2 linked regions of the Drosophila melanogaster genome follow. The protein of the gene in region 1 interacts with the protein of each later gene in a pairwise test. Each region holds a gene or a part of one and is shown in the gene's direction. Other genes may lie near its edges.

Region 1 (7,714 bases):
TATGATGAAGGCGCGATTTTCCTTCTCTGCATGGACAATCGACCAGAAAATCTGCGCCTCCCGACCCGTCAACTGGGTGGTCGGCTCCTCCAGTATAATGATGGGCGTATCTCCGGCCAAGCAGCAGCACAGCGCCACCAGTTTCATTGAGCCTGAACTCAGCTTTCCGATCCGGACACCCCGACTCTCCACGTGCTGATCCAGTATGGCCAACCACTTGCGCCTCTCGATCTCGTAGCGGTCGGACTCGCTGGGCGACAGTTTTAGACGCACATGGTAGTCAATGGTCTGTTCTACGGTCAAATGCTTGTTGAGCCCATGCTCATCGAAACGGAAGTCCACCAGGCGACGGGCTTCACCTAGTTGTATTTGTATTTGTATGAGTATGAGAACGGCTACAGCATACCACGACTATTGGATACGCTTTACTCAACGTAAGGGAAAGTGTAAGAATGTTGAAGATATCCTCACGAAATTGCATGCAGAAGCGGACGGCTCTTTTCAAATAGAGAATCTAAATGCTTAATACCATCTTAATCTAATCTTTTCTAGCTCTTATAGTTAGGGAACTATACGGACGGACAAACGGATTATCTTGGCTATTGATCCTGATCAAGAATTTATATACTTTTACCGTACGAGAAATGGGTATAATCACAAAAACAACCAACTTACCATTGGGTTCAAAGGGATTGCCCATTATATATACATTGCCACGTAGTGGGAACTTGAGGCCGGCCAAAATCCTCAGAAGCGTAAGTTTACCGGAGCCAATGTGGCCGAGGATCACAAACACCTCGCCACGATAGATTCGCATCGATATATTCTTGAGGATCTTTCGCTCCGAATCGCGATGTGATGTGCTGACATGACGCAATCGCATGAGCTCCACACTGCCCACGTCGCCGAATTCGAAGTTTTGAAAGCTCGGAGCCCTGCCCAAGTACATAATGGTGGTGTCCGATTCCTGCTGCTTCCGCGGCCTATTGTTCACTATCCGCCGACTGAGGAAGGTGCCCGGCATTCGCCACTGAATCGCCAAGAGAATCAGGAAGTAAATCAAGGCCGAACTTATGGCCGATGTGAAGATCAAGACGAAATCAATGGTGTTCACCATTTCCGGTTTCTCGATGCAGTTTCTGAACAAGCTCATGCTGAAGTGCATCTGGCAGTTGCAGAAAGCCACCAGGATGAAGAACACATAGTACTTGTGGATGTCCCAGTAGCGTTCCAGGATAATGCAGAATGCCGCGTACATGAACAGCCAGAGCATTAAGGCGAAAAGGACCGCATTCGTGGGGTTGGCAAACAGTTTGGCCACCACCATGCCGGTGATAATGATCTCCACGGTGTACAGTGTGATGAAGCAGACAAAGGCTATCGTCCCAGTGCCGGAGAACTCCCCTTCTCGACCTCCAAAGCCCCAAAAGGCCTAAATATATTTATTTGTTAAATTGAGCAGGTATGGTCAAGTGGCAAAAACTCACCAACAACATGATGGTATATATGACACCTAAAATGCACATTCTGAGAAAAAGCACCAAAAACTTAATGCCCCACTGCATGCCAAAGGAGTAGCCGTAGTGCCACTGATGCACCATCACCCCATCCTCCACCTGGGCAGCGACGTTCTGAGAATTGGGCCAGAAAGCGTCCTTATATCTCATGTTGGTTAGGTGGTGTAGATGGTGTACTTACTCTGATGATATTCAAAAAGGGCAGTAGGTATATAAAATTATAAAGGAATGTGGGCAGCTGGGCGACACTCATCACGGAGCACGGCTCGTCGGCGGCCTTCAGCAGGATGTTGTAGACCTCGACATTGGGTTCTGGATAGGTGCTAACTATGTCCTTGCGCAATTGGTGGTACCATTCCACAAAGATCTGGTGCTGCAGCTGCAGAAACCCCTCGCGAATATATATATCCTGCTGCTTATCGTGCTTGGCCCGATCCCGTCCGGGATTAATGCGACCCGAACAGCGGGTTATCCACAGGCGATCCTCGGTGAGGAACGGAGCGATCGTGCGGAACTCGCTGGGAAACCGAATCGAGATGGACAGAGTCAAAGGAGTGCCGTCATCGCGCAGATCATTGAAAACAATGCCCGCCAGGGTAGTCCGCTCATCGAACTGATTTTGCATTTCGGACTCGCTCTCGTAGCCCACGGTTGAGCTCAGTTCCAGCGTTTTGGCCACATTCTTGGTCACCTCCGATGTAAACGTCGTTTCCGGCGTGAAGGCCAGGATGTACTTGGTTTTCTCCCGCTTCGAGTCTGCCATGCGTCTGCGGAAGGTAACAAAACCATATAAATAGGTAGGAGCATTAAGTTGCGCCTTTGGATGGCGCTACATTCAAAAGGTTGTAGGTGAATACTATGCACTTACGTCAATATATTTATGTCCTGCAGTTTGTGGGACACGATGCTCTGCTCGTTTTCGTTCTCGGTGGTCGTGTATAGAAGCCTTTTGGAGTGAGCGATGGGGTTGAGAAAGATCACTAGGACCATTATCACTAGGGCGACGATCTCGAAGAGCGTCCGCCGCCACAGATTTAACTCGATGCGGATGTAGCGCTTGAAAAGAAGACCCTTGCTGGCCGGCATTTTACAATTTAAAATATAAATTTAACAAACGACAGAAATTGGTTGGCGGGTCTGCACTCCCGCACAAAACGGATGGTTTGAGTGTGAGAAGTTTGATTTTCGGCAGGGGATTTTGAAAATATTCTTATTTTGCCTTAAAACATACCAGTACTTTGTTCTCAAAGCACATTTTGATGACTATTTCAGACTACGCATTTACATGCCCAATGTTTTGAAATTTTCATAGATAATATTGAACACCTTCAAGCTTAGAATTTGTCACATTAAGTATTCACAATTAATTAGAAATACATTACATTTTTTTCATTAGCAGCGGTATTAGGCTAATTCAAGTTCATTACTTAAAAATCGCTGGTGCTACGCAAAAACAAGAGAGAACACAATGTATTTTACCACGAATCAGAGAGAAACCTATAGTCGAGTTCCCCGACTATCAGATAACCGTTACTCAGAGAAATATCATCATTTTTCTGTCTAGAAATTGGTAAATAAATTGAAAAAATGTATCGGTTTTGGCATGTCGAAAGAAATTTACAAGACTAATATAAAAATAAAATATTAAGACATTTTTTAAAAAAGTGGGCGTGGCAGTTTTGGGTGGTTTGGGTCAACAAACTAGCGCTGTCTCCAGAATCTGTATGCTTAATCTCAACCTTCTAGCTTTTAAACTTCCTAAGATCTTGAAGTTTATGCGGACGGACAGACGAACAGGGCCAAATCGACTCGGCTATTGATCCTGATCAAGAATATATAAACTTTATATGGTCGGACACGCTTCCTTCTACCTGTTACATACTTTTCAACGTATCTAGTACACTCCATTTACTCTACGACGGGTATAATCCTACGAGTAAGGTCGTGTTTTGTTATATTTAATTTTAATTGTTTACTGGACACATTTAATTCGAAAACCTTAGCTAGGTTTTTTACCACCTAGCGTTTTTATCGATGCCGATTGCTCGATGGCATCGATATTCCGAATGCAGTGCGATAACCGGCATGTGTCATCTCGAAAAGCAAATGCAGAGTCATACAATAAAGAGGAATTAATTCGACATCTTGCATTGTGGTCCTTCAGTTCGACAAATAATAACAAATTAAAGTGTAAACAGAAAACGAAAGATGACGGTGACGAATCGGGTATGTACATTTGATTCCCCCAGCTCTTCCACCGCGAAAAACCAATGCTCCATGTTTTCGCAGATGGAAATCGAGTCGGCCTACCATAAAGGCGAGGGATTCCGGTCCTACTACATCCAAAAGATCGAGGAACTGCAGCTGGTGGTGGCCGAGAAGCACCAGAATTTGAGACGACTGCAGGCCCAGCGCAATGAGCTCAATGCTAAAGGTAAATTTACTGTTACACATATGTAGATAATGTGCATAGTTGGTTAGCTGTAGGATATAGAAAACATATAAGACTTGTTCTTGGTCTTAATATCAAAAAATCTTTAAATTTGAGAAAGCAATCCTAATTAGCACGTCTTTTGCAGTTCGGATGCTGCGGGAGGAGCTGCAGCTGCTCCAGGAACAGGGTAGCTATGTGGGCGAGGTTGTGAAGCCCATGGACAAGAAGAAAGTGCTGGTCAAGGTGCATCCCGAGGGCAAGTTCGTCGTCGATCTGGACAAAAACATAGATATCAACGACGTAACCCCCAATTGCCGCGTGGCCCTGCGCAATGAGAGCTATACGCTGCACAAGATTCTGCCCAATAAGGTGGATCCGCTGGTCTCGCTTATGATGGTTGAAAAAGTTCCTGACTCCACATACGAAATGGTTGGCGGCCTGGACAAACAGATTAAAGAGATCAAGGAGGTGATTGAGTTGCCCGTAAAGCATCCAGAGCTGTTTGATGCCTTGGGTATTGCCCAGCCGAAGGGAGTGCTCCTTTATGGACCTCCAGGTACAGGAAAGACTTTGCTGGCCAGGGCCGTTGCCCATCACACCGAGTGCACCTTCATTCGCGTCTCTGGCTCAGAGCTGGTCCAGAAATTCATCGGCGAGGGTTCGCGCATGGTTCGAGAACTCTTTGTAATGGCCCGGGAACATGCACCATCAATTATTTTCATGGACGAAATCGATTCCATTGGCTCGTCGCGTATTGAGTCAGGTTCCGGCGGCGATTCCGAGGTGCAGCGTACTATGCTGGAGCTACTTAACCAGCTGGACGGCTTTGAGGCCACCAAGAACATCAAGGTGATCATGGCCACCAATCGCATTGACATCCTGGATCCCGCTCTGCTGCGTCCCGGCCGTATTGATCGCAAGATCGAGTTCCCGCCACCAAACGAGGAGGCGCGTCTGGACATCTTGAAGATCCACTCCCGTAAGATGAACCTCACGCGTGGCATTAATCTGCGCAAGATCGCCGAGCTAATGCCAGGCGCATCAGGTGCGGAAGTCAAGGGCGTCTGCACGGAGGCCGGCATGTATGCGCTGCGCGAACGACGCGTCCATGTCACCCAGGAGGACTTCGAGATGGCTGTGGCCAAGGTGATGCAGAAGGACTCGGAGAAGAACATGTCTATCAAGAAGCTGTGGAAGTAGGCGTTGATCGGCCATTGCAAAAGAACCCTTATATTATTTTCAATAAATACATCAGTTAGTAACATAAATGCATTATTGTGTCATTGGATTTACTCCTTAGTCAGTACGCACAACCCAATTATGATCTTCACAGATAACTTTCGTTCAATGATATCTGAAGAATTGAATAGATTATCAGATTACAGTAGCAGCTTTGTAAAAAGTACATTGCAGTGTTTTCAACTGGCTGCTTGATCAGAACAAAAAAAGAGAGGTTATCCATCTCTTTCTTTTTTATGTTTTTTCGATCTCAATGATTCCTAAAAATCCGAAAGGAAAGTACTTCCAAAATTACATTTATGTATGTATGTTTATTATAGTTCCAAAGAACTTACAGGGGACTTGTCGGAGATTTACAATGGTTCACAACACCTTGCTGTTTTTAAAGCAAATGAGCACCGAACAACTTAAGATTTTGACATTAGGACGCGGATCCAGCGAGTCGTTCCCGTTCCGTTTGAAGCACCTGGCAGATCTGCTCATCGTCAGCCACGTCGTAACAAGTCTGTCCATCTGAATCGCGTAGCTCCAGGCTGGCGTGTAGCTCCAACAGGCATTGGAGCGCCTCCAAGTGTCCACAACTGGCGGCGTAGTGCAGCGGAGTCTGTTGCTCCGCATCTCGCTGATTTACACTGGCCCCACTCCGCACCAGGAACTGTATGATTTCGACGGCATTGCGATCGGTAGCCCAGTGGATGAGCGCCATGCCATGCTCGTCCAGCTTAACCAAGTCACTTGGCTGCAGCAGTTCCCTCAGCCTGTCTAGATTGTTCTCCTTCACGTGGTCAAACAGGGTCTTTTCACTGTCCAAACGTTGGTCCTCCAGTGGGACCGACTCAATGGAATGAACGACCCAGCCTGGGTTGCGCCGGGACCGCCAGTTGGGTTGAAGCTCCTGCAGCTTCTGGACGTAGGCCTGCCGGGCAGCGGACTGGGACATTGTTCCCAGATTGCGCCAAGCCTGCCACTTGCTCTTGGCCTGCAGTTGAAGCAGACCCGGACTTTGCTCCTTGCAGGGGCCATTCGTGGCCTGCTTGTAGTATCCGTAAAATATTAAAAGGTCCGCGGAACCAATGCTGTTTGACTGCTTGGCCACATGCTCGGTGGCAAGGTGGAAAAGCTCGTCCACGGTGTCCGTATCGCTGTCCGACATGTCAAAAAAAAAAAAAATCTGCTGAGCTTATAAACTAAATGACAATTAAAGTGGGGAATCTAAGATTTCTGTATGTTTAGGTAGTTGCCCTCCAGTATGTGCTTCTGCTCGTTCTCGATCTTCTCCAGCGCGGTCAAACTGTTGAAGCTAACGAAACCGTAGCCCTTCGAGCACCCCGTTCGCTTGTCGAAGATCACGTTGGCGGACACCACGCGTCCGAACTCGCGGAAGTAGCCACGCAACTCCTGGTGGCCCACTGTCCACGGTAGATTGCCCACGAAAATGCGGTGCACTGATTTTCCGACTTTTGCTACAGCTGCGGCGGTGGCCATGGACTCGGTTTTGCTAAATGAGGTGTGAATTCGAATTAAATATGGTTTTCTGCTTCTTCCAGCCAAGGCGATCTGGATTCCCGGCGACTCCTTACCAGTTGCGTTGCGTAAATACTGCTGCGTTTCTGTTTCACGTCAACTTGCTGTTTTTGTCGACAGAGAGACATAACCTCAAAGAGGCAGCTAACAGCGCAGTGCTATTACCCTACATGTCGGAGTACATTTGTTCATATATGTAATCAATACTGCAGAGGAGCGTACAGATAATTAGTTAAATGTAATCAATTGGTTTGAAAGCCAATGTAATGACTTCTAAGCTACATTACTCCTAAAATAGTAGTTCATGCAAATAGAATAATTATTTTGTATGTCTATAAATTAAAACTATTGGTTTCAATAGATTAATCTCTCAGAATCGATTTAATTTAAATCTTTATCGTGCTAATCATTTTTCTTAATGTCATAATATTCATCCAAATAGAGTATCAAATCGCTGATGTCTAGTAAGCATAAGCTGCTTTCATTCATTATTTGTGCGCTTAACAGCACATATTCGCACTAACAGGTTCTTACTAGCAATCTGTTAAGCGACGAAGTTCTGTAGAACGGAAAGGGAGCGCCAAATTCAAACGGCAGATCAAAGAAAACACATTTTTTATTTTTGATTTTGCATGATTTTGTTTTATTTTTGTAATTCTTTTTCTGATTTTCCCTTCCCTTTCCCTTTCTTATTTATTTCATTACTCTTCAGTTTAACAAATTTGCTATCAACTACTTAAAATTAACAACATCGCATACACGTATCTTTCTCGATTTCCTTGCAATAAATAAACAAATATTGATTGTTATAAATGTACAATACGATCAAAAGAACAAGTGGATAAGGGTGGGGTTAGGGGTAAGGGCGTGTGCAAGCTTTTGTTGTTTAGTTTAGAGTGGTGTATTTATGCTTTTGGAAATAACATTAACTATGGAAGCCGTTTTCACGTGTTTCTTTTTGTCTCTCGCCTAATTCCTCTGCTGCTGCCCGGAATATCCT
Region 2 (7,870 bases), 5.6 Mb from region 1:
TGGATGTAACAGTTGGTAGAACCACTTGGCAATAACTACAGACTCCGTGGGCTTACTATCTTCCGTCCACATGCCATCAGCGCACAAAATCCGTTGTTGTTAGCCAATTTGGGGGCATATCTCTTAGGGATTCGGCGGCCCCTTACGACGCAGAAAAGATCACTCGACAGGGGCGTGTTTTTCATACTTATATGTATTTATATATGGTATGCATTAGTGTCTAGCCCCAAAGCCGTATCTATACCTACCAATCCGGCACATTTCACCATTGCGTAGCCAGGCCGGCAGCGTGCCAATTTTTATTGTTGCGATAATTAGCACTCCGGCTGTGTTTTGATCGATCCGATCAATTAGCGAGCGGCCACCGAGCCCCTTCGGCTTCTACCGGCTTCTAGGGCTCTCCAGATAAATAAATGAGTCCACTTTTGACTGGGCACGTCTAGTATATATGCGTGTGCGTACACAGAAAAAAAAACCTGGTCAATATAAGATAGGCACGGCGTATATTGACAAAAATTGATGGCTTGTAGCCAAAACTTGATGATTGTACATATACATATGTATTTTAACATTTATATCAACAATGAGACATTTTTCTTTCTGTGCACCCTGATTAGATAGTCTACAGCGGAATAACAGATTTAGCCATATACAATGTTTGTTTTTTGCTTTTGAACTGGTCGTTCCTTTAATCACTTTTTTAGGCATTACTCACGGCCCGAAACAATCAACAATTACAGTACAATTATTATATACAGCCGTCTGAGCTCGGAAACAGAATGTGGGATTCCGGTTTGCAGTTGGGTACTTGGGTGCTTGGTTGCTTGGGTTCAATGTGCCACCCCGTGTCGAGTGTGTCCTCCTCAGACACGATTCGCAGGTTGACGGCACCAGGTTCTCACCTCTACTGATGCCCCTTTGACTAGAGTTCCTAAATCAGCTCGCCGCGCTCGTTCACCTTGATCACCCGGACGCGGGCATGCCGGTCGGCCAGCACCTGGTCGATATTCTTGCTGGTACTGATTCCAGAGCTAATGCTGCTATCGCCATCGCTGCCGGTGAACAGTCCCAGATTGTCCTTGATCAGATGGTCGACGGCACAGCCGTCGCACTGTAGGATCACCACGCCGCTGTAGTAGGCCTCTTCGCTGATGGTCTTCGTGTTGCGGGTGTTGCACAGCTTGCAGCGGTACACCAGCTCCATGCGGCGTTGCATGCGTCGGAAGCGCTTCAGTGTCGTCGGCGACAGAGAGCCATTCGCCTGGTTTCCGGACGTGGAGCCTCCCAGGTCAAACTGCTTGGCCGTGAAATGGCACGCATCGAGTATGGAGCGCGGTATGGAAAGCGGTGCTGGACGCGACGATTTTAGGTGCTGCTCGGCATCGTTGGTTAGCGGCACGGCGTCCACCGCTTGTTGCTGCTGGGTGGCGTTGAGGATCGCGTTTTGTCCATTCTGGCGCAAATAGTTGAGAGTTCGCGATGTGAAGATGTTGCGCAATGCGTTCATTTTATGTTGCTACTAAGCGGTGTTGCACATCCGCGTTGCTTTCTGCTCTTGCCGCCCGCTGCAGTGCGTCCTGAATTCTGGCGCCGCACGTGCTGAATGTGGGGTAGTTACTGCGTTTTGTTTTGCCCCAAATGGGGAAGAAAATGGTTAAGTGGAGCGATGAAAACAGCTGATGGCTATCGTTATCGGAGCAGTGCAGGCGGTTGGCCGCTTAAATTCAGTTCTCACATTTTGGCTATTTTGTATCCAGGTTCAGTAATTTGTCTCTATTGGCAGAAGTTTATGTAGTATGAGTTGAAGACTCGTTACAGCATTTCAAAAAGCAAATAACAGAATTTCAACTACCAAATTTGTAGTATAAATACCAAGCAATAATGAAAATTCATAGCTTAGAAATAACTAACGGCCGAAGAACCGAGTTCACCACTGAGTGCCTATCGGATTCGATAATCACAACAAAAGGCAATCGGAGGCCGGCTACTATATTATATAGCCACCAGATACGATTCGTTACCAAACCGATCTCAACTCCCAGAAATGGGCCACTAATTGCTGCTGGAGCATAAATCAAAAGCCATGAACTTTGCACGCCTGAGATTCGGGCAGATGGTCCTTGGAGGACTTCGAATTCCGCGCCAGCAGACGCAGACGCAGTGGATGATGGACCGCCGCCGATGGTTGGCCAGTGAAGCCACCTCATCGGCTGCGGCGCCAGCTCAAGCAGCTTCTGTACCTAGAACTCAAACGCAACCGCGGGTAAAGCCATTGCCGCTAGCCGAGGAGCGCTTGGAGTCGATACTATCGCCCATTCGCACCAGGATCATTCGAAAGAAGCGCTTGGCCATCGATGAACTGTCCGCTTTGGGGTTTCTCAACACCCGTGGTTATACGACCGCCGAGGAGTACAATCTGGAGGATCTGCAGATAGCCCTCCGCGAACAGAACCTGTACGAGACGAAGCGTTTCTTCTCCACAGACAATCTGGACGTGGAGCAGAATGTGCTCTTTGTGGCGGCCAAATATCCGACGGGTCAGCAGCCGCGGGAGATATTCTTCTTCCGCGAGGGCTCGGTGGTCTTTTGGAACTGCAGCGACATCGAGACGAACAATGTGCTAAGTTTCCTGCGCGCCTTCGAAAGGGAATCGTATGTGAGTGCCCTGGTTCACGGGGAGAGCGAGGTGATGCCCTACACCTACATTCCATCGACGGCGGTGGATGTGGAGGGCGATCTGGTGGCGGAGAGCAGCGACTTCAATGTCACGTCACGGGCATTCTTCCAGAATGGCAAGTTCTTTGTTACCGCCGATACGGATAGTTTCCTGTATAAGTACACCTTCTCCAATGCGATGGCACAGTCAATAAAGCTGGGCATGTGGGAGGCGACACTGGACCGCTACATAGACTCCATAGAGCATCTCACCGAGGATCTAAAGCGTGGTCGCCGATTAAGAATCTCGCGGGCGGCCATGCTGCGAAAAACCGGTGAATTATTTGCCCTGCGTCATGTGATCAACCTGTCGTCGGATCTGCTGGATGCACCCGATTTCTACTGGGACCGCGAGGAACTGGAGGCACTCTACCTGCAGGTGTGCTCCTACTTCAGCATCTCACGGCGCACCAAGGTGATGAACGAGAAGATCAACCACTGCGTGGAACTGGCCGAGCTGGTGTCCCACAATCTGAACGATGCCCATCATATCCGGCTCGAGTGGATGATCATAATCCTGATCATGGTAGAGGTGGGCTTCGAAGTGCTGCACTTCGTCAGCGATCACAGTGATTCGCATAAGCTAGAGGTCCTGCCACTGGCTGCTCCTGCCGCCTCGATTCCCAATTAGCAAGTAGGCTTGGTCGATAGTTTTTTGTACTATATTTGTATTTTGACGAAATATAGAATTGTTAGCGTTCCAAAAGTTTGTTTGATCTGTGCTCTATTTTTTTTTTGTCCTTTTTAATTTGTTGTTGCCCGTTAAAAACACCAAACATTACGATTTTAAAATTCTCACTAGATCCAATTTAAAAAAATGGCTAGATTAATCGACAGCACTAAAGCAGACGAAGTGTCATTTCTTTTCCTCTGTCGAAAAATGCTATAGATCTACATCGAGAATATTATAATTTTATTGTATGTGTATTTGTATTTTGCTGAAATATAGAATTATTAGCATTCCAAAAAGTTGTTTCTTGTGTTTTCATTTTGTTTTTGTTTTCCTTATTTAATTTGATGTAGACCGTTAAAACACCAAAAATAACGATTTTAAAAATCTCGATAGATTGAACAAATTAATCGACAGCACTAGAACAGAAGAAGTGTTGTTTGTTGTCCTCTTCCGAAAAATGGTATAGATCTACGTTGAGGACGAAAAGGATGGCCAACGCTGTGGTGGTGTTGGACAACGGAGCGCATACGGCGAAAGTGGGCCTGGCCAATCAGGATGAGCCCCATGTGGTGCCCAACTGCATCATGAAAGCAAAGAGCGAGCGGCGACGCGCTTTTGTGGGAAATCAGATAGATGAATGCCGGGACACATCGGCGCTCTATTACATTCTGGCGTTCCAGCGCGGCTACCTGCTCAACTGGCACACACAGAAAACGGTGTGGGATTACATATTCAGCAAGGACGGCATTGGTTGTTCGCTGGAGAACCGCAATATTGTCATCACTGAGCCGCAGATGAACTTCCAGAGCATCCAGGAGGCAACGCTGGAGATTCTGTTTGAGGAGTACAAGGTTGATGGGGTGTACAAGACCACTGCTGCCGATCTGGCTGCCTTTAACTATGTGGCTGACAGCGAGGAGCGGACTACAATGGAATCGCTTAACTGCATCATCATCGATGTAGGCTACAGTTTCACCCACGTTGTTCCTTTTGTGCTGGGACGGCGCGTTCTCCAAGGCATACGACGCATCGACATGGGCGGGAAGGCGCTGACCAACCAGCTAAAGGAGCTAATCTCTTATCGCCACCTAAACGTCATGGACGAGAGTCATGTAGTTAACCAGATCAAGGAAGATGTCTGCTTTGTGGCGGAGGACTTCAAGCAGGCGATGCAGGTGCATTATTCGGAGGAGAAGCGACGCGAAGTCACAGTTGATTATGTCCTTCCAGACTTCACCACCGTCAAACGGGGCTATGTTCGTGTTCCCGGAAAGCCGCGCGAGGATGAGGAGCAACAGCAAATGGTGTCGCTGTGCAATGAACGTTTCACCGTGCCCGAGCTGCTCTTCAATCCCTCGGACATTGGTGTGCAACAGGTGGGCATTCCGGAAGCGGTGGCCGATTGTCTGAAGGCTTGCCCCTGGGAAGCGCACCGCGAACTCCTGCTCAACATCCTTATTGTGGGCGGCAGTGCCCAGTTTCCGGGATTTCTGCCGCGCCTAAAGCGCGATTTACGTGCCCTGGTGCCCGACGATCTTGAAGTGTCACTCATCTGTCCCGAGGATCCGGTGCGGTACGCGTGGTACGGCGGCAAGGAGGTTGCGACCAGCCCCAACTTTGAAGAGTTTGTTTACACGCAAGACGACTACGAGGAGTACGGTTTCCAGGGTATCAATCAGCGGTAACATGCACGTAGTCGAAGTATTTTTTCAATAATAAACTTGATTTGCACATGGGTTTTCTAGAACATTCCTTGTCTATATATTGAACTAGGGCTAAAGAGGACAAACTGCCAGCCTGCGGCAAGGAAGCGGGTGCGTCACTTACCTAGCGCTACAACTAAAATTTAACTATAGAACACAACTTAATATTTAGAATTCGTTTGCGAAGTAAAATTTACAAAGGATGCGGTGCTTTTGCCAACAACGTAATGAGATACAAGGTCGGGCCGCGTACTGCATTTAACTTAGTTAATTTAGGTCTGTCTGCGAGGCGGGTGCCGGCGGATCTCCTCCGGATCTCCATCGGTTTACATGCTGAACGATTCGCCGCAGCCGCATGTGCCCTTAATGTTCGGATTGTTAAACACGAACTCGCTGGACAGCTTCGATTCCACAAAGTCCATCTCGGTACCTGCAAGCGAATTATACTCTGTATTAGCTGGCTTGTCCAATGCTATGCTAAGCTGGTATGAACTTACCCAGCAGCGACAACTGCGCTTTCTTGTCGATGAAGACCTTGACGCCATCCTGGACCACCTCCTCATCCAACTTGTCTGCTGGCAAAAATCGACACAGAACGCAGCATTAGATCTCCACCGAACAACATTCTGTCCAGAGTGGCTTACCTTTTTGGCTGGCATAGTCCAGCGTGTAGGACAGACCATTGCATCCTCGCTGCCGTACGCCCACCTTTAGGCCAACCTGTGGCAGAAACAACATCGAATTTCTGTCATTAACTGTGTGGCTAATTTATAGGCAGCCTTGTTTATTGACCAAAGACAAAGAACTCGGTATTCTAATAAGTCTGTCTCAATTCAAAGAATTTAATCACTTAAAAACTAAATGATTAACAACAAGATAAACATGCTCATCAAAATTTGGTCGGGTCAAAATTTGGAAAATCTAGCTGATTAACGCAGGCCGAATTAGTTAGCATGGCTTATATTTATAGCTAATAATTTGCGCTAAAATATATGACTGACTGAGGAAAAAGCCTATTGTCAAATATAATGCTTGAAGAAGCCCTCTTGCGAACTTCCTATACTCCATGCAACCAGTGCTAAAACTTAAATAACATGCACGGGAACCTTTAAAGAGCTAGGCGAGATTATCAAGATCTCAATCGTGGAAGGCGATAGAATGCCCACTAAAGTGTAGCCTTGGTTCGATGACAACTTGTCAGCAGTCACTCACCATGTCCGGCTTGTCCTGCAGAAGCGTCTTGATGCGTAGCACCGCCGCGGGTGTCTGAAAAGGATTGGGGGAGATCAGAATCATCAGATCGAAGGGGACTGTTACTTCATCAGCAGCAGCATGCGCCGATTTCACCAGGTTTTGGTTTCCTTACCAGAGTCAGAGCGGCCCGCGTCGGGATTAACTTCCGGCCTTTCACCGCCCGCACTGTCGCCGTTGCCACCACACGTGTCGCCATCGGTTCGTGCCCTTTATATAATTTGTTTGACTCGAGAATTTCCACAAAAAAAATTCGAAAATATGAGTGCTTACTACCAGATGGTCGATAGTACTGTCGATAGTATCACGTGAGATGGCATTAACAGATGTCATCGATTGGCAGTGTCACGGGATAGCGGAGAAACGGTTACTACCTGTTTGAAAAATAAGTTATTTTTAAGCCCCAGAGTCCAGGTGGACTTCATTAATAACTTAACTTAATATTTCACAGTAGAATTTATATTAACAATTGGTTTTAATGTCTGTGAGTTACAGCAAATTTTATCAGCACCAGTGACAGCTATAGTAACTTTTTAAAATCGTGACTCGCGACTAGTTTTGAAATGAAAGGAGGTGCCATCTCTAAGTTTAAATGAATTTCACACTTTTCGATTGAGTTAAATAATATCAACAAAATCGAGGATATGTCCGCCCTAAAAAAATTTTATAAAATCAGCGCAGGTGTGAGAAGAGGCGCACTACTTACCAGTTCCCGAAGAACACAAATTGATGCTTTAAATAGTCCACAATTGCAGTTGCAAGTGCATCACTTTGCAACCAAAACACAAACAGCTGTTTTTAGCAGCAGCAACAACTACACGTGCATTTGCCGCAGTATACACTGCAGTAAGCCAGTGGTATGTTTGGAAATCAGTTGTAAATACAAATAAACTACCCAATTGATATTAAATAATGTTATTTACATTTGTAATTTAAAATATTATAAATGGAATGCAATATTTAAAATTATGTATAACAAAAAAGTTAAGTATAATTATTTTGCTCTGCTCCCAGGACGATGCGGACAAGACGGTGGCCACGAATAGCATTCCTCTGGCGAAACTGGAGGCCAAGATGCAGCTGATCTACACCTGCAAGGTGTGCCAGACCCGGAACATGAAGACCATTTCGAAGCTGGCATACCAACGCGGCGTTGTTATCGTGACCTGCGAGGGCTGCTCCAATCACCACCTGATCGCCGACAATCTGAACTGGTTCACAGATCTGGACGGCAAGCGCAACATCGAGGAGATCCTGGCCGAGAAGGGCGAGAAGGTGGTTCGCCTGACCGATGGCAACTGCGAGTTTTTGCCGAAACATGATTAAACTCGTAGTGTAGTTAAGTGAAAACGAATGCCACTTTATTTAGCAGCTCCAGCAAATGTGTCCAGGAATTGGGGGGTAGTTGGGCACGCAGCTGCTGGGCGAACTGCCGGCGACATATGGATCCGGTGGCCAGCATCAGGTAGGTTATGTATGTGGCCTCGTTCACGGGCAGCTGCGAGACAGCCGTGACTGGTGCATCAGC

The links. Proteins that work in one complex are often made in the same cells at the same time.
Region 2: the proteins of Rpt6 (region 1) and Arp6 interact in a two-hybrid assay, tested with the Drosophila melanogaster proteins (one large-scale study listed by BioGRID).

Annotation. Positions count from the first base shown.
Region 1 is NC_004354.4:21,312,453-21,320,166, forward strand, and holds Rpt6 (regulatory particle triple-A ATPase 6), read left to right. Parts: upstream 1-3,599; 5' UTR 3,600-3,725; coding exon 3,726-3,743; intron 3,744-3,806; coding exon 3,807-3,951; intron 3,952-4,096; coding exon 4,097-5,151; 3' UTR 5,152-5,211; downstream 5,212-7,714. Other genes in the region: CG1801 (uncharacterized protein), read right to left, coding at 1-359, 676-1,432, 1,488-1,631, 1,699-2,284, 2,386-2,603; anox (anorexia), read right to left, coding at 5,612-6,343; SLIRP1 (SRA stem-loop interacting RNA binding protein 1), read right to left, coding at 6,403-6,675.
Region 2 is NC_004354.4:15,733,040-15,740,909, reverse strand, and holds Arp6 (Actin-related protein 6), read left to right. Parts: upstream 1-3,789; 5' UTR 3,790-3,876; coding exon 3,877-5,073; 3' UTR 5,074-5,136; downstream 5,137-7,870. Other genes in the region: CG8206 (uncharacterized protein), read right to left, coding at 932-1,507; CG11679 (uncharacterized protein), read left to right, coding at 2,084-3,346; MagR (magnetic receptor), read right to left, coding at 5,418-5,521, 5,589-5,666, 5,736-5,811, 6,304-6,357, 6,458-6,541; CG12379 (uncharacterized protein), read left to right, coding at 6,987-7,199, 7,357-7,668; CG8191 (uncharacterized protein), read right to left, coding at 7,682-7,870.